3 linked regions of the Oryctolagus cuniculus genome follow. The protein of the gene in region 1 purifies or fractionates together with the protein of each later gene. This does not show direct contact. Links are inferred from orthologs where the notes say so. Each region holds a gene or a part of one and is shown on either strand. Other genes may lie near its edges.

Region 1 (3,328 bases):
TACAAGGGGGTCTTTTCAGGTGGTACAAACATTGAGGAAGGTAGGCATGAGCTGATGGGTACACTCATCCCACATATGTGAAATATAACCAGCTACAAAGATCCTATTGGGATAAGTACATAAGTAATTCAGGTATAGGAGAGGTCTTCAGAAAGTGTGCAGAAAAATGCATGCATTTCACAGATTTTTATCCTTTAATGCCTTGTTCCATGAACTGGCTGAAGCACCTTTGTCACACATTCCCCACCGCCCTAGAAATAATAGGCTGAGGGAGAGGAGTGTTTACTCTCTTACTTCCTGTGGTAAAAGTATTATTCAACTATTGGTATTTTCCTTCTGCTTCCATCTGCTAGAGTGATCTGCACGCATCCTCTGCAGCCTTCCCCCCATTAAATGCATCCTGAACACTTCCCTGAAATAGGAAAGGCGCTTCCCATTCCCGCCGTCTGCCTGCAGGAGCCCGGAAAGAAGGACCCTGCCTGGGAGGCCACCTTCCCTCGCGTGGCCTGTGTACTGTGACAGCGTTCATCTGCCAAAGAGAGGCGTGCGTGTGTGGGGCCACCGACTGGACAGGACGGCAGGAGCTGGGAAGTTCCTAGGCACCCTGACCATGTGGCCAGTCATCGGTGGCTGCTCGCCTCGTCACTGGTTCGTGAAAAGCATTGCTGCGTGTCTCCTCACTGATGGCTCTTTCGTTTGTTCTTGCATAGCGAAATCGGTTAAGGTGAAAATCAAGCTCAATAAAAAAGATGAGAAAAGCCGAGACAAAGGAAAAGGGAAGAAAAGGCCAAATCGAGGAAAAGCCAAGCCTGTCGTGAGCGACTTTGACAGCGACGAGGAGCAGGATGAGAACGTGAGTGCAGTGCTGGCATCTTGCTCCCTCTCACCTGTGGGTGACAAAGTCGATGGGCGAGATGCCATCCCTGAAGGACGGGAACACAGCGGCAGGACTTCGACCACAGATCTGGGGGCTCTGTGCATTGCTTCAGTAGTCTGCAGAAAATAAAGGGGAGAAGAGAACTCGATTTTGTAGTTTTTCATCTTAGAAATTGAGTTTTCTCCATGGCCGATTCATATTTTGTATATCACGCCTGTCGTGCTGCCTTGTATATAGTAGATGGAAGAATGAGAAAAGGTGTTGGGATGTCGGAGTTTTGGACTTGAGTTGCTCAGTAAGGTGCCATATGAAAACCCAAATGACTTTTTAAGCACCTAAGGGTTTTTTTTTTTTTTAATATTTGAAAAACCTCAGGGAGCATTGATTGAGGCCTGGAAATAGGTGCCTTCCTGTATTGGTACATATTTATCCCAGCATCGTGTGCTGCCACTCTCAAAACATGAGAGTGATTTAGCCATTTTGCTGCAGGTCATCTAGCAAGTGACCAGCAGAGCTGAAATCAGACCAAGTCTGCACAGCACAGGACAGTGGCATTTGAACCTGCCCTACCTTCCTTCTACTTTCCCTGCCAATTTTTTTTTTTCTTTCTGGGAACTCATGTCCATGTTAGTATGATGGTAAGTTTCAGAGTCATCATCTTACACCAGCCTTAACCACTGGGCACAGTTGTTTTCAAATGCATTGAAAGCCCTGTGTTTTCCTCATACCACTTACGAGTGGAGCAGACAGGAAATACATGATGTTTTTCCTTCCCATGTATCTTCCAAGGCATAGGGCTAAAAACACAGAGTACTTAGCCACAAACCTGTAAACCCAGACTGAAGGGGAGCACCCACTAGCAAAAGTGGGGGTGCGTGTGGCATTGGGATTTTAATGACAAGCCCTCTTCTTGGCCTTACTGCTGTCAGTGCCTCTTGGGTGTGCTTCTGTCTTCCTGCAGAAAGATGTGGAGCCTCCGCTGTTTCTCAAAGGCCGTTTGTTCTTTCTCTGCCTGCCCATGGCTTATTAAGGTGTCTCCTCTCGTTCCTGGGATTTTATTTCATTTCCTCTTGTTTTTCCTTCTAGGAACAGTCGGAAGCAAGCGGGACTGATGATGAATGAACAGTCTGGACCTTTTTTCCTTGGTAAAACTGACTTCCTTCCTTCCCCTCTCTGCCCAGTGAACCTACTTGTCATAGTGGCACTGGGCCCTGTCATCATCCTCATCTATAAACTAGCTTTAGGATAGTGCCAGACAAACATATGATATCATGGTGTAAAAACACACACACACAACATTTGTAACATATTGTGACCAAATGGGCCTCAAAGATTCAAAGATTAAAAACAAACCAATCTTTTGATGGAAAATATGTGGGTGGATAGTATATTTCTATGGGTGGGTCTAATTTGGTAATAGTTTGATTGTGCCTGGTTTTATCACCCGTTCAGATGAGAAGATTTTTGTCTTTTGTAGCACTGATAACCAGGAGAAGCCATTAAAAGCCACTGGTTATTTTATTTTTCATCAGGCAATTTTCCAGGTTTTTATTTGTTCGGTATTTTTTTTTACACTGTGGTACATATAAGCAACTTTAATAGGTGATAAATGTACAGTAGTCACATTTCACCTGCATAGACATTTTTCCATTTTATGCTCTATGATCTGAAAACAATGCTTTTTGAATTGTATAAGATTTATGTCTACTGTAAACATTGCTTAAATTTTTTTTTTGCTCTTGATTTCAAAAAAAGTTTTGTTGAAAACGCTATTGAATATTGCAATCTATATAGTGTACTGGATGGCTTTTTTGGTCAACCTGATCTCCTATGTTACCGATGTGTATCGTCTCCTTCTCCCTAAAGTGTACTTAATCTTTGCTTTCTTTGCACAATGTCTTTGGTTGCAAGTCATAAGCCTGAGGCAAATAAAATTCCAGTAATTTCAAAACCGTGGCGTTGGTGCTTTCCTAGTAACGAGACACCATAGCTCTCCAGTGTTGCCTGTTACTCCTGAGTCCTAAGGGAGTGACCCCCTCATGCTTGAGGGGACTGTTTCCTGAAGGGGGCCAGGGAGGCTCCTTGGAAGGGACGAGAGAGAGAGAATGAGAATTCAGGTGTGTGTGCACCACGAGGGAGGCGCCATGGGCCAGGCCACACAAAGGCACTGCTCAGCCTTTCCTCAGGCATTAAATAGGCCTAGTTCTTTCCCAGGTGCCAGCGTAGTACTGTCTGTCGGTCGCATTGCTTCAGAGCCTTCTGAAGGCACTTCCCGTTCCCATTTTACAAACAGGAATACAGCAGTGGAGACGGTGTGGGCTGAGCACACCAAAGGTGGATTCGGGAGGTAAGCTCGCTCCAGAGCCCTTTCCCACCTCCCCAGCGGTAAGGCCTGGGACAGAACTTTCGGATATGCCTCAGGTCACGTGCCAGGCACTTGCTGGCACAGTA
Region 2 (3,993 bases), on another chromosome or scaffold:
GCGTGTGCTTGTCAAGTCTTGGTACTGGTCAGATGGGCACAGTCCCAGGCTCTGTTGTGTCCAAAGTTCGCTGGGCCTTTCTCTCCCTAGAGAGAAATCTCCCTAGAGAACTGCTTCCTGCCGTCCCCAGGAGCTGCGGCCACAGGACCCTCCCTCCATCCCGTGGGCACGAATGCGTGACTGCTGGCAGGTGGGTGGGGGCAGTGTTTAGAGAGTCTGTAGGCAGTGAGGCCTTGAGGCATTAGCGACTGCCCTGTTTGCAGAGATCAGCTTCAAGGGCACTTTTTCTAGGTCACTTTGTTGTCTCTTTTAACCTAGTGTTCATCAAATGGCATCTTAAATACTTGTTTCCTGGTCTGCATGTTCTACTGAACTCCAAGCTCTTTGAAAGCAAAAACACATCGTGGGTGGTGTTCCGGGGCAGCGGGCTAAGCTGCCTGAGATGCCCACACCCCGGTCCGACTGCCTGGGGCACTCCTGGGATGCACAAGCTGGGAGGATGGCTCAGAATTTGGGCCTCTGCCACAACCGCGGGAGACCTGGATTGAGTTCCCGGCTCTGGGAGTCAACCTGGCCCAGCCCTGGGAGTTGCAGGCGTTAGGGGGAAAGAGAACCAGTGAATGGAGGATCTCTCTCTCCCTTTTCTGTGTCTTTCAAATCTTGAAAAAACAAAACCAAAACCTCCCAAGGCATCATCGCTGAAACCAGTGACCGCTGCATTAAATGGTGGCAGTGGAATCGTGCTAAGAACGAACACGGGGACCCTAGGGTACCCCGGGAGGCTGGAGTTTGAACCGGATTCTGGAAGAGCGAGCAGCCAGTTCCTCGGGTGAGCACCAAGAACAGCAGGCACACCCCAGACAGGTGTCAAACTCCCCGCCGTTGGAGCCCAGTGGGAGTCCTGGGGGGGGGGGGGCGGACACTCAGGTCCCACCGGGGCCAGGCTCCCAGCTTCTCTGGACGCAGTGCAAGGGCGCGGACCTTCAATGCCCCTGGGCAGAAGCGGACACCCCGCCCACTGTACCGGCAGCGCCTCGCACCTTGCCCTGCCCGCAGCACGTGCAGCCTGCTCGGCGCGCCCAGGCCCGGGGCACCCATGCCCGGGGGTCGGGAGGGCCGCCCGGGGCGGGGCGCGCAGGCGCGCTGAGGGCTCGCGTCCCAAGGGGCGGGCGGGTGCGCGCGCCTCCTCGCGCACGCGCGCACGGAGGGGGCGACGGCCGCGGTGACGCTGCGGCTTCGGCGGCGGTGGCGGTGGCGGTGGCGGCGGCGCGTGTGAGGCGCGCGCGATTCTCCGCGCGTCTTGGGAGCAGTGCCCCGGCCCCCCGCCGCTCCCGCCGCCGCCATGTCGGGCCGGTCGGTCAGGGCCGAGACCCGCAGCCGGGCCAAGGACGACATCAAGAAGGTGATGGCGGCCATCGAGAAAGTGCGGAAATGGTGAGGGCGGGAGCCGAGGGTGCCCGCGCGCGCGCGCGCGCGTGTGTTGCGGGCCCAGGCCCCGAGGAGCGCCAGTCCGGCAGGCTGGGTGGGAGCCGGCCGGCCGGCTCCGGAGGGGGAGGGGGAGGGAGAGGGCGGGCGGAGGGCGCGCCGGCGTCGGCGTGAGGTCAGAGGGCAGCGCCGACCGGGGCCAATCAGCGGGCCGCCCGGCTGGCTGCCCCGCCCACTGCCGCGGTCGCGCGCGGCCCGGGGATGGCTGCGGACTTCGGGCCGGCGCTGGGCCTGCGGGTCCTGGCTCAGAGTCCCGGGCTGGTGCCGCTGCTGCTGTCTCCCCGTGCTGTCCTCCCCCTGATTAGGAGCCAGCCATCCCCCGAGTGGCTTCGGTCGGCCCGGCTGAGCGCTCCACATAACACAGTCGAAATCTGAGAGTTCTCCCGGTAATTCCACCTGCCGCGGGAGCAGGCGTGGTGGTCATCGGAAAGGAAACCTGCCTCTTTCCCCTAACGCCCCCTGAAGTCGCAGGTGAAGCTCCGGAAGCTCCCGGAGCCTGTTCCTCTAGCTAGCCAGCAGTAGGTAGGAGCCCGGGGGCTCCCGTGTGGGCCTGGCTATGCGTTCCCCTCCCCGCAGGCCGGAAGGGCCTTCTCGCTCGCTCTCCGTTGGCTTCCGGTCACCGCGCCGAAAGCCAGAAGTGTCCGCTGGGACGGCTAGCGCTGACTGAGTTGTCCAGGTCCGCTTGCGGCTGGAATGCGGGCCCTGGGAGGGAAGGGGCCGTGCGTCTCGTTCCCTGCCTTCCTAGACGAGGGTCTTCGATACTGAATACGTGGTCAGCAGATGAGGAAACGGAGCGGACCGGTCGGGAACCGGTGCCCCCTGAGCCTTTTTTAGCTCGTTGTTTCCAGTCCATCGTCACCTCTCTGCATTTCCTGATGGCATTATTTGCTTCATAGCAGCTGTGACAGTAGTGACTTTTATGTGTTTATTTAGTATAAACTTCAGATTTGGCCTTGAAACTTTGCAAAGCGGTTCAGGTCCGCGAGACATCAGCTCCCTGCATTTGGTTCTTGCTCGGGCTGACAGCAAGTACTAAGCAGTCTTAGAGAAGTAACTTCTTTCTTTTTTTAAAATTAATTACATTATTTGATGGGCAGAGTTAGAGAGAGAGAGAGGTCTTCCATCCCTGGTTCACTCCCCAATTGGCCGCAACAGCCGGAGCTGCGCCGATCTGAAGCCAGGAGCTTCTTCCAGGTCTCCCACGCGGGTTCCGGGGTCCAAGCACTTGGGCCATCTTCCACTGCTTTCCCAGACCACAGCAGAGAGCTGGCTCAGAATTGGAGCAGCCGGGACTCGAACCGGCGCCCATACGGGATGCCAGTGCTGCAGGCTGGGGCTTTACCCTCTACGCCACAGCGCCAGCCCCGAGAGGCAACTTCTTGGAAAGCCAGCTCCCACCTGCACACACACTGGCTGGCAGCCCTTCAGAGCAGGTCGAGCGTGTTGCTCTGTGTTGAGTTTAGGACGGGCCTGATTTCCTTTCGCTGGGTCTAGCTCATGTTGTCAGGCCCTCGTGGTCTTGAGCAAGCCCTTGGCCTGGTCTTGAGCCGTTGCTTGTTTTGTGAGTGATGAGGATTTCTCCAGAGCTTTGAACTTGAAGGTTGAAATCTGAACATTTCTTCAGATTAGCTGTCTCCTTAGGCAGTCTTGGTAAGGCAGAACAGCAAGGGATCCCAAGGCCGGGTCCACGCCTGCCGCTCCCACCCAGCAGAGAGAGTGTGTGTGTGTGTGTGTGTCTGTGTCTGTCTGTCTGTGTGTGTCCCCCGTGGTCCTTTCTCCCTTGGAGGAATCTTTATATGGAAGCAGAACAGGGCAGCCAGTCCATGACCAGAGTGACTTAAGAGATTAACACTAAAATGACCAGAACCTTCTTTTTAAATTTTTGCTTTAATTAAAAAAATTTGCCCTAAGTTTATTTCTGCTTGTCTATATGTTTAGTGGTAATGGAATAATAGGGATTTTTGAAGATGTGCTACATAGTTTGTTATCTTTACTGAGATTCTAATTTGGTAAATAAGCTGATGAGACAAAAACATTATCAGAGGCACACATGTGACATCATTTAATAAGGAGCATGCAAGAAGGGGCCTGTGCCTACAGAGAGCTTAGAATTGCTGTTTTGAGTGCCTTATTTTATTTTTTTAAAACGATTCTTTCTGAGCTTTCTGTTCTTTCTTTCTTTTTTTTTTTTTTTTTTTAAGATTTATTTTATTTATTTGAAAGGCTGAGTTACAGAGAGGCAGAGAGAGAGAGAGAGAGAGAGGTCTTCCATCTGCTTATTCACTCCCCAGGTGGCCCAGATGCATGCAATGGCTGGTGCTGTGATGATCCGGAGCCAGGAGCTTCCTTCAGGTCTCCCACACAGGTGCAGGGGCCCAAGCACTTGGGCTGTCTTCTACTGCTTTCCCAGGCCATAGCAGAGAGCTGGATCGGAAGTGGAGCAGCCAGGACTTGAACTGGTGCCCATATGGGATGCCGGCACTGCAGGCAGCAGCTTTACCCATTATG
Region 3 (4,177 bases), on another chromosome or scaffold:
GACACCAATTGGCAGTTTAACCTTCTGCACCACACTCCCCCAAAGCAGAGGTTCTTCTACTGTGGTGCCAGGACCAATACCATCAGCATTACCTGGGAACTTTGGTTAGAAATACAGGGGCAGGCATTTGGTAAAGCTTTTAATAGGCCAGTTAGGCAGCTGGCATGCCATACAGGAGCAGAGTGTCTGGGTGTGAGTGCCCTCCTCACTTCCAATATAGCTTTTTGCTAATGTGTACCCTGGGAGGCAGCAGGTGACAGCTCAAGTACTGGAGTCCACGCCACTGATGTGGGAGACCTGGATTTAGCCTGGCCCAGCCCCAACTACTGAAGGCATTTGAGTATCTCAGCAGATAAGATCTCTTTGTCTCTTTCTGTGCCAATTAAAAAAAAAAATTCTTAGATCCACCCCAGACTTACTGAATCAGAAACTCTGGTGTGGGGCACAACAATGTTTTCCATTTTCAGCTGATCATGATGCATATTAGAATTTGAGAATCCCTGGTCTACCTGGGGAAGATGCTGCGCAAGTAGAATTCATTACGGCTTATAAATCAACTGCCTGTCAAGTGGATAAAAGCTAAAACCTAAGAATGTCCAACCAAAGCCAACTATGACAAAAATAAGATAAACTGAAGTGGGACCTCAGTGGAAGGAATTATTCAGTTTGGAACATATCAAGTTAGGGAAGCCAGTAAAATACTCCAAAGACGACACTAAAAGGCAGCTGGAAAAAAATCAAGAGCTCAGAAGTTAGGTTGAGAAATACCCCTTCACACAGAATTGACAAACAATGCCGAGAACATCCATCTTACACAGAAAGACAGAAAGGGGCTGGCATTTGGCACAACAGTTAAGGCACAGGTTGGGATACTGGCATCTATATCAGAATGCCTGGTTTCGAGTCTCAGCTTTCTGTAAGTGCATACCATAGGAGGCAATGGCTCCTAGTGGTGATGGCTCAGGTGAGTGGGTTCCTGCCACCTGTGTGGGAGACCTGGATTGAGTTCCTGGCTCCTGGCTTCAGCGTAGCCCAGACCTGGCTGTTAGGGGCATTTAAGGAATGAACCAGCGGAGGGGGCCTCCTTGTCACTGAGCCGAATCATAGTCTAATAATCCACATTCTGCAAATACTTTTAACTTTATATTTTATTTTTTGAAGCATTTTTTACACTATAGTCAAAGGCTTAGTACACTTTAACTTGCAAAGATTTATTTTGAAGATTTTATTTAGTACACAAAACACTGTCAGAATGTTATTATCAAAAGCAAAGATGTTCTATAACAGAAAAACCATTATTCTAACAGACACATCGGCAATACTAGACAACATTTCATCTCCTCTATCAGAGCTACCTACAGGCTTTCGCCATGCCCTCTCCCTGACAGGAAAACTATCCTTCCAGGTGTTTCCCCCGCATCCCAACTATCTCCACTGCCTCTCAGCAGCTTCCACTTGCCTCCCTGAAGGCAGCTGCCGGGCATCTTTGTAATCAGCTGTGACATGAGATCCCAAATGTCTTGCTACAAGGTCGTAACGCTGCCGAAAGCTGACAAATCTCACACGATTTTAAATACTGGGTCAACTGCAGCTATAACACGACTCCTCGAGTATCAGAGCAAGACAACGCCGGTCTGTTTTCTCTTATCAGGAGAATTACACAATGTTACATGTTGCCTTACTTTTGGGCCTCCGAAGGGAGGCAGAGGGGGGAGTGAAAACACGTCCCCCAGAGCCTCGGATCACGTGCACTCTCCGGCGGACCGGAGCGAGAACAGAAAAAAAGGAACGGGAGACTCTACACCGAAGAGCCATCAAAACAGCGCGCAAGAGATTCTTGTCACCTGGTTACATCTGGAAGCCACTGTGCAGTTAGGCTGGGCCACTCCAGGGCGTGGGTCATCACCAAGTCGTACAGAAATGGGGTGTTCTTTTTCCATATTTTGTACTCCTCGTTGATCACACGCTCTTCCACCGCGTCGTCAAAGGCTGCTAAAGATTTTTTTTAAGCAAACTAAGTTAGCGAGTGGAGGCAGGCGCGCTCCCCCGTCCTGACTGAAATGGAGGCGACTCGGCTCGACCTCCCAGGCCGAGGCTCCGCCGCGCCTCTCCGCCCGCGCGGGGCCGGAAGTCCCCAGCTCACTCCGGCCCGAGGCTCCAGTTCGGGGCGCCGCGGAGTCTACGGGACCGGCCAGGAGGCCCGGGGAGGGGTAGGCAGCGGCGCGGCACGGCGGCCACAGAGCCCGAGCGCGAGGAGGGACAAACAACCGGCCGGCCCCCACCGCCAGCTCCGCCGCGCGCCGGCGGGCATCGCTCCTGAGGACCTGGCGTGCCGTTAGCCGCCCCGCGGGGAGCGCCCTCCTCGCGCCTCCGTCGCCGGGGACTGCGCTCAGCCAAGTCGGGCCTGCCTTCACTCTTTGGCCGAGCCGAGGCCACGGCGCAGCCCCGGCACCCCCCGCCCTCCTGAGGCGGCCCCAGCAACCTCACCTTCCTTGTCGGCCATGGCGGGCGGACGAGCCGGGGGGAATCCCGGGGTCGAGCGCTGCGGGAGGGGCGGGGAGGCTGCGGGCGCTCGTTCGGCGCGCGCGGCCTCTATTGTTTCCTGCGGCCCCTGCGTGAGGCCCGACTCGCGCACCTTCGCGCCAACAGCAACCAATCGGAGCGCGCCGAGCGGCGGGGTGGGCGGGGAAACGGCCATCGCAGCCTATCCAGACGCGCGGAATCGTTCCCCGCGGGGCCCAAGAGCGCTCTCCACCCCTGCCCCCCACCGCCGGGGACCGACTTCCACCGGTTGCGCGCGCACCCGAGTAGGTGGGGCTGTACCCATCCCGAGTCACGTGAGAGAGTTTTAGCTCGCGCACTCCCGGGGGCGGCCATTTTCTTTAAGGCTGTTAAGCATATGAATCTATTGAGAAGAGCCCTGAGACGAGAAATTTCGGATGCTTTCACATCTGGTTATCAACTCTGGGGGCGAGGCGGAGAGAAAAGCCTTCACCCCTCCAGACCCAGAGGTGTCTTAATAAAAGTTTTCCGTCAACTAGTTTCCTTTGTCTTTAGAAAGAACTACTGAGAAGCGCCGAAAATGGGAGTTTAGCCTTTCAAATACGAGATCCGAGCGGCACGGCCCCAGATGGAAGTTTTCGGGCCTAACGTAGGTCGAACTGTGAGATTGGAGTCCTGGCCCTTTAAGGGTGCGTGCCAAGGGGCGGGGTCTAGGGCGGAAGTCGTAACGTGGAGTCGAAGTCTGCAGGTGTAGGGCGGAAGGAGAGTGTCCGAATCTGGCCGTCATGGCGCAGGGCGAGGAAGATGTTAGAGATTACAATTTGACTGAGGAGCAGAAGGCGATCAAGGCCAAGTATCCTCCAGTCAATCGGAAGTACGAGTGTGAGTAGGTGGTTCGCTGCTCTTCAGGTAGCGGTACACGGGCATGCCTTCCGGCCTCGCCTGGTATTCTGCCCCAGGGGTGCTTCAGGTGTGGACCCCGTGGCGCCCTGTGGTGTGGCTTTTCTGCTTGTCACGGGGGATGCTGAGAGGGCAAAAAAGCCTCCAGATGTGTTTGATTCGGGAAACCTGGGCTCCCGCGTTTACAGTCTCTTGAACTCTTTCCATAGGTGCCCGAGCCCATTTATCTTGGTGAATTGTGCAAGTGTAACCGTGTTTTCCAGCGTTGGGGGGTCGTCGCTCCCAGGTTGTCTCCTGACACTGGGATGCAGTGTAGCCAGGGTAGAGGACTCGGAAAGCTAAGTAGGGGACTTGGTGTTTCGCCTTGGTCGTGTTGGTAGTAAGACCTGATGTTTGCCATTTATTGCTTTGGTGACTTTAAGTAAATTCCATAACCGTATTTGCATCTCGATTCCTACATTTGATGAATAAATAATGAGTGTGGAGGTATAGTGCAGACTGTTAAGTTCTGTATTAGGAAAACTGGCCGTGTTGGGGGTGCAGCTGGTTAAGCCGCCGCCTGCCCCTTGGACATCAGGCTTCGGGTGCCGGAGTCCCTGTTGCTCCACTTCTGATCCTGCTCCCTGCTAATGCGCCTGGGAAAGCAGGTCCCCGCCTCCCACGTGGGAGACCCAAATGGAGCCCCTGGCGCTGGGAGGTCTACAAGAGACAGTGAGATCTTCCATCTATTGGTTTGCTCCCCAGATGGCCACAATGGCCAGGGCTGGGCCAGTCC

Evidence for each region. Proteins that work in one complex are often made in the same cells at the same time.
Region 2: the proteins of SMARCA2 (region 1) and BCL7B purify together in Homo sapiens (affinity purification with mass spectrometry; 3 studies listed by BioGRID, with this or other methods). This does not show direct contact. The link is inferred for Oryctolagus cuniculus from reciprocal best matches to the Homo sapiens genes SMARCA2 and BCL7B.
Region 3: the proteins of SMARCA2 (region 1) and RBBP4 purify together in Homo sapiens (affinity purification with western blotting; 3 studies listed by BioGRID, with this or other methods). This does not show direct contact. The link is inferred for Oryctolagus cuniculus from reciprocal best matches to the Homo sapiens genes SMARCA2 and RBBP4.

What each region holds. Positions count from the first base shown.
Region 1 is NC_091432.1:164,360,317-164,363,644, forward strand, and holds the end of SMARCA2 (probable global transcription activator SNF2L2), read left to right. Parts: intron 1-710; coding exon 711-853; intron 854-887; exon of another isoform or gene 888-993; intron 994-1,963; coding exon 1,964-1,999; 3' UTR 2,000-2,828; downstream 2,829-3,328. UniProt on the Homo sapiens protein: ATPase involved in transcriptional activation and repression of select genes by chromatin remodeling (alteration of DNA-nucleosome topology).
Region 2 is NC_091450.1:50,474,243-50,478,235, forward strand, and holds the start of BCL7B (B-cell CLL/lymphoma 7 protein family member B), read left to right. Parts: upstream 1-1,193; 5' UTR 1,194-1,342; coding exon 1,343-1,434; intron 1,435-3,993. UniProt on the Homo sapiens protein: Positive regulator of apoptosis. Plays a role in the Wnt signaling pathway, negatively regulating the expression of Wnt signaling components CTNNB1 and HMGA1.
Region 3 is NC_091438.1:139,889,236-139,893,412, forward strand, and holds the start of RBBP4 (histone-binding protein RBBP4), read right to left. Parts: upstream 2,801-4,177; 5' UTR 2,699-2,800; coding exon 2,488-2,698; intron 1,993-2,487; coding exon 1,845-1,992; intron 1-1,844. Other genes in the region: ZBTB8OS (protein archease), read left to right, coding at 3,288-3,384. UniProt on the Homo sapiens protein: Core histone-binding subunit that may target chromatin assembly factors, chromatin remodeling factors and histone deacetylases to their histone substrates in a manner that is regulated by nucleosomal DNA.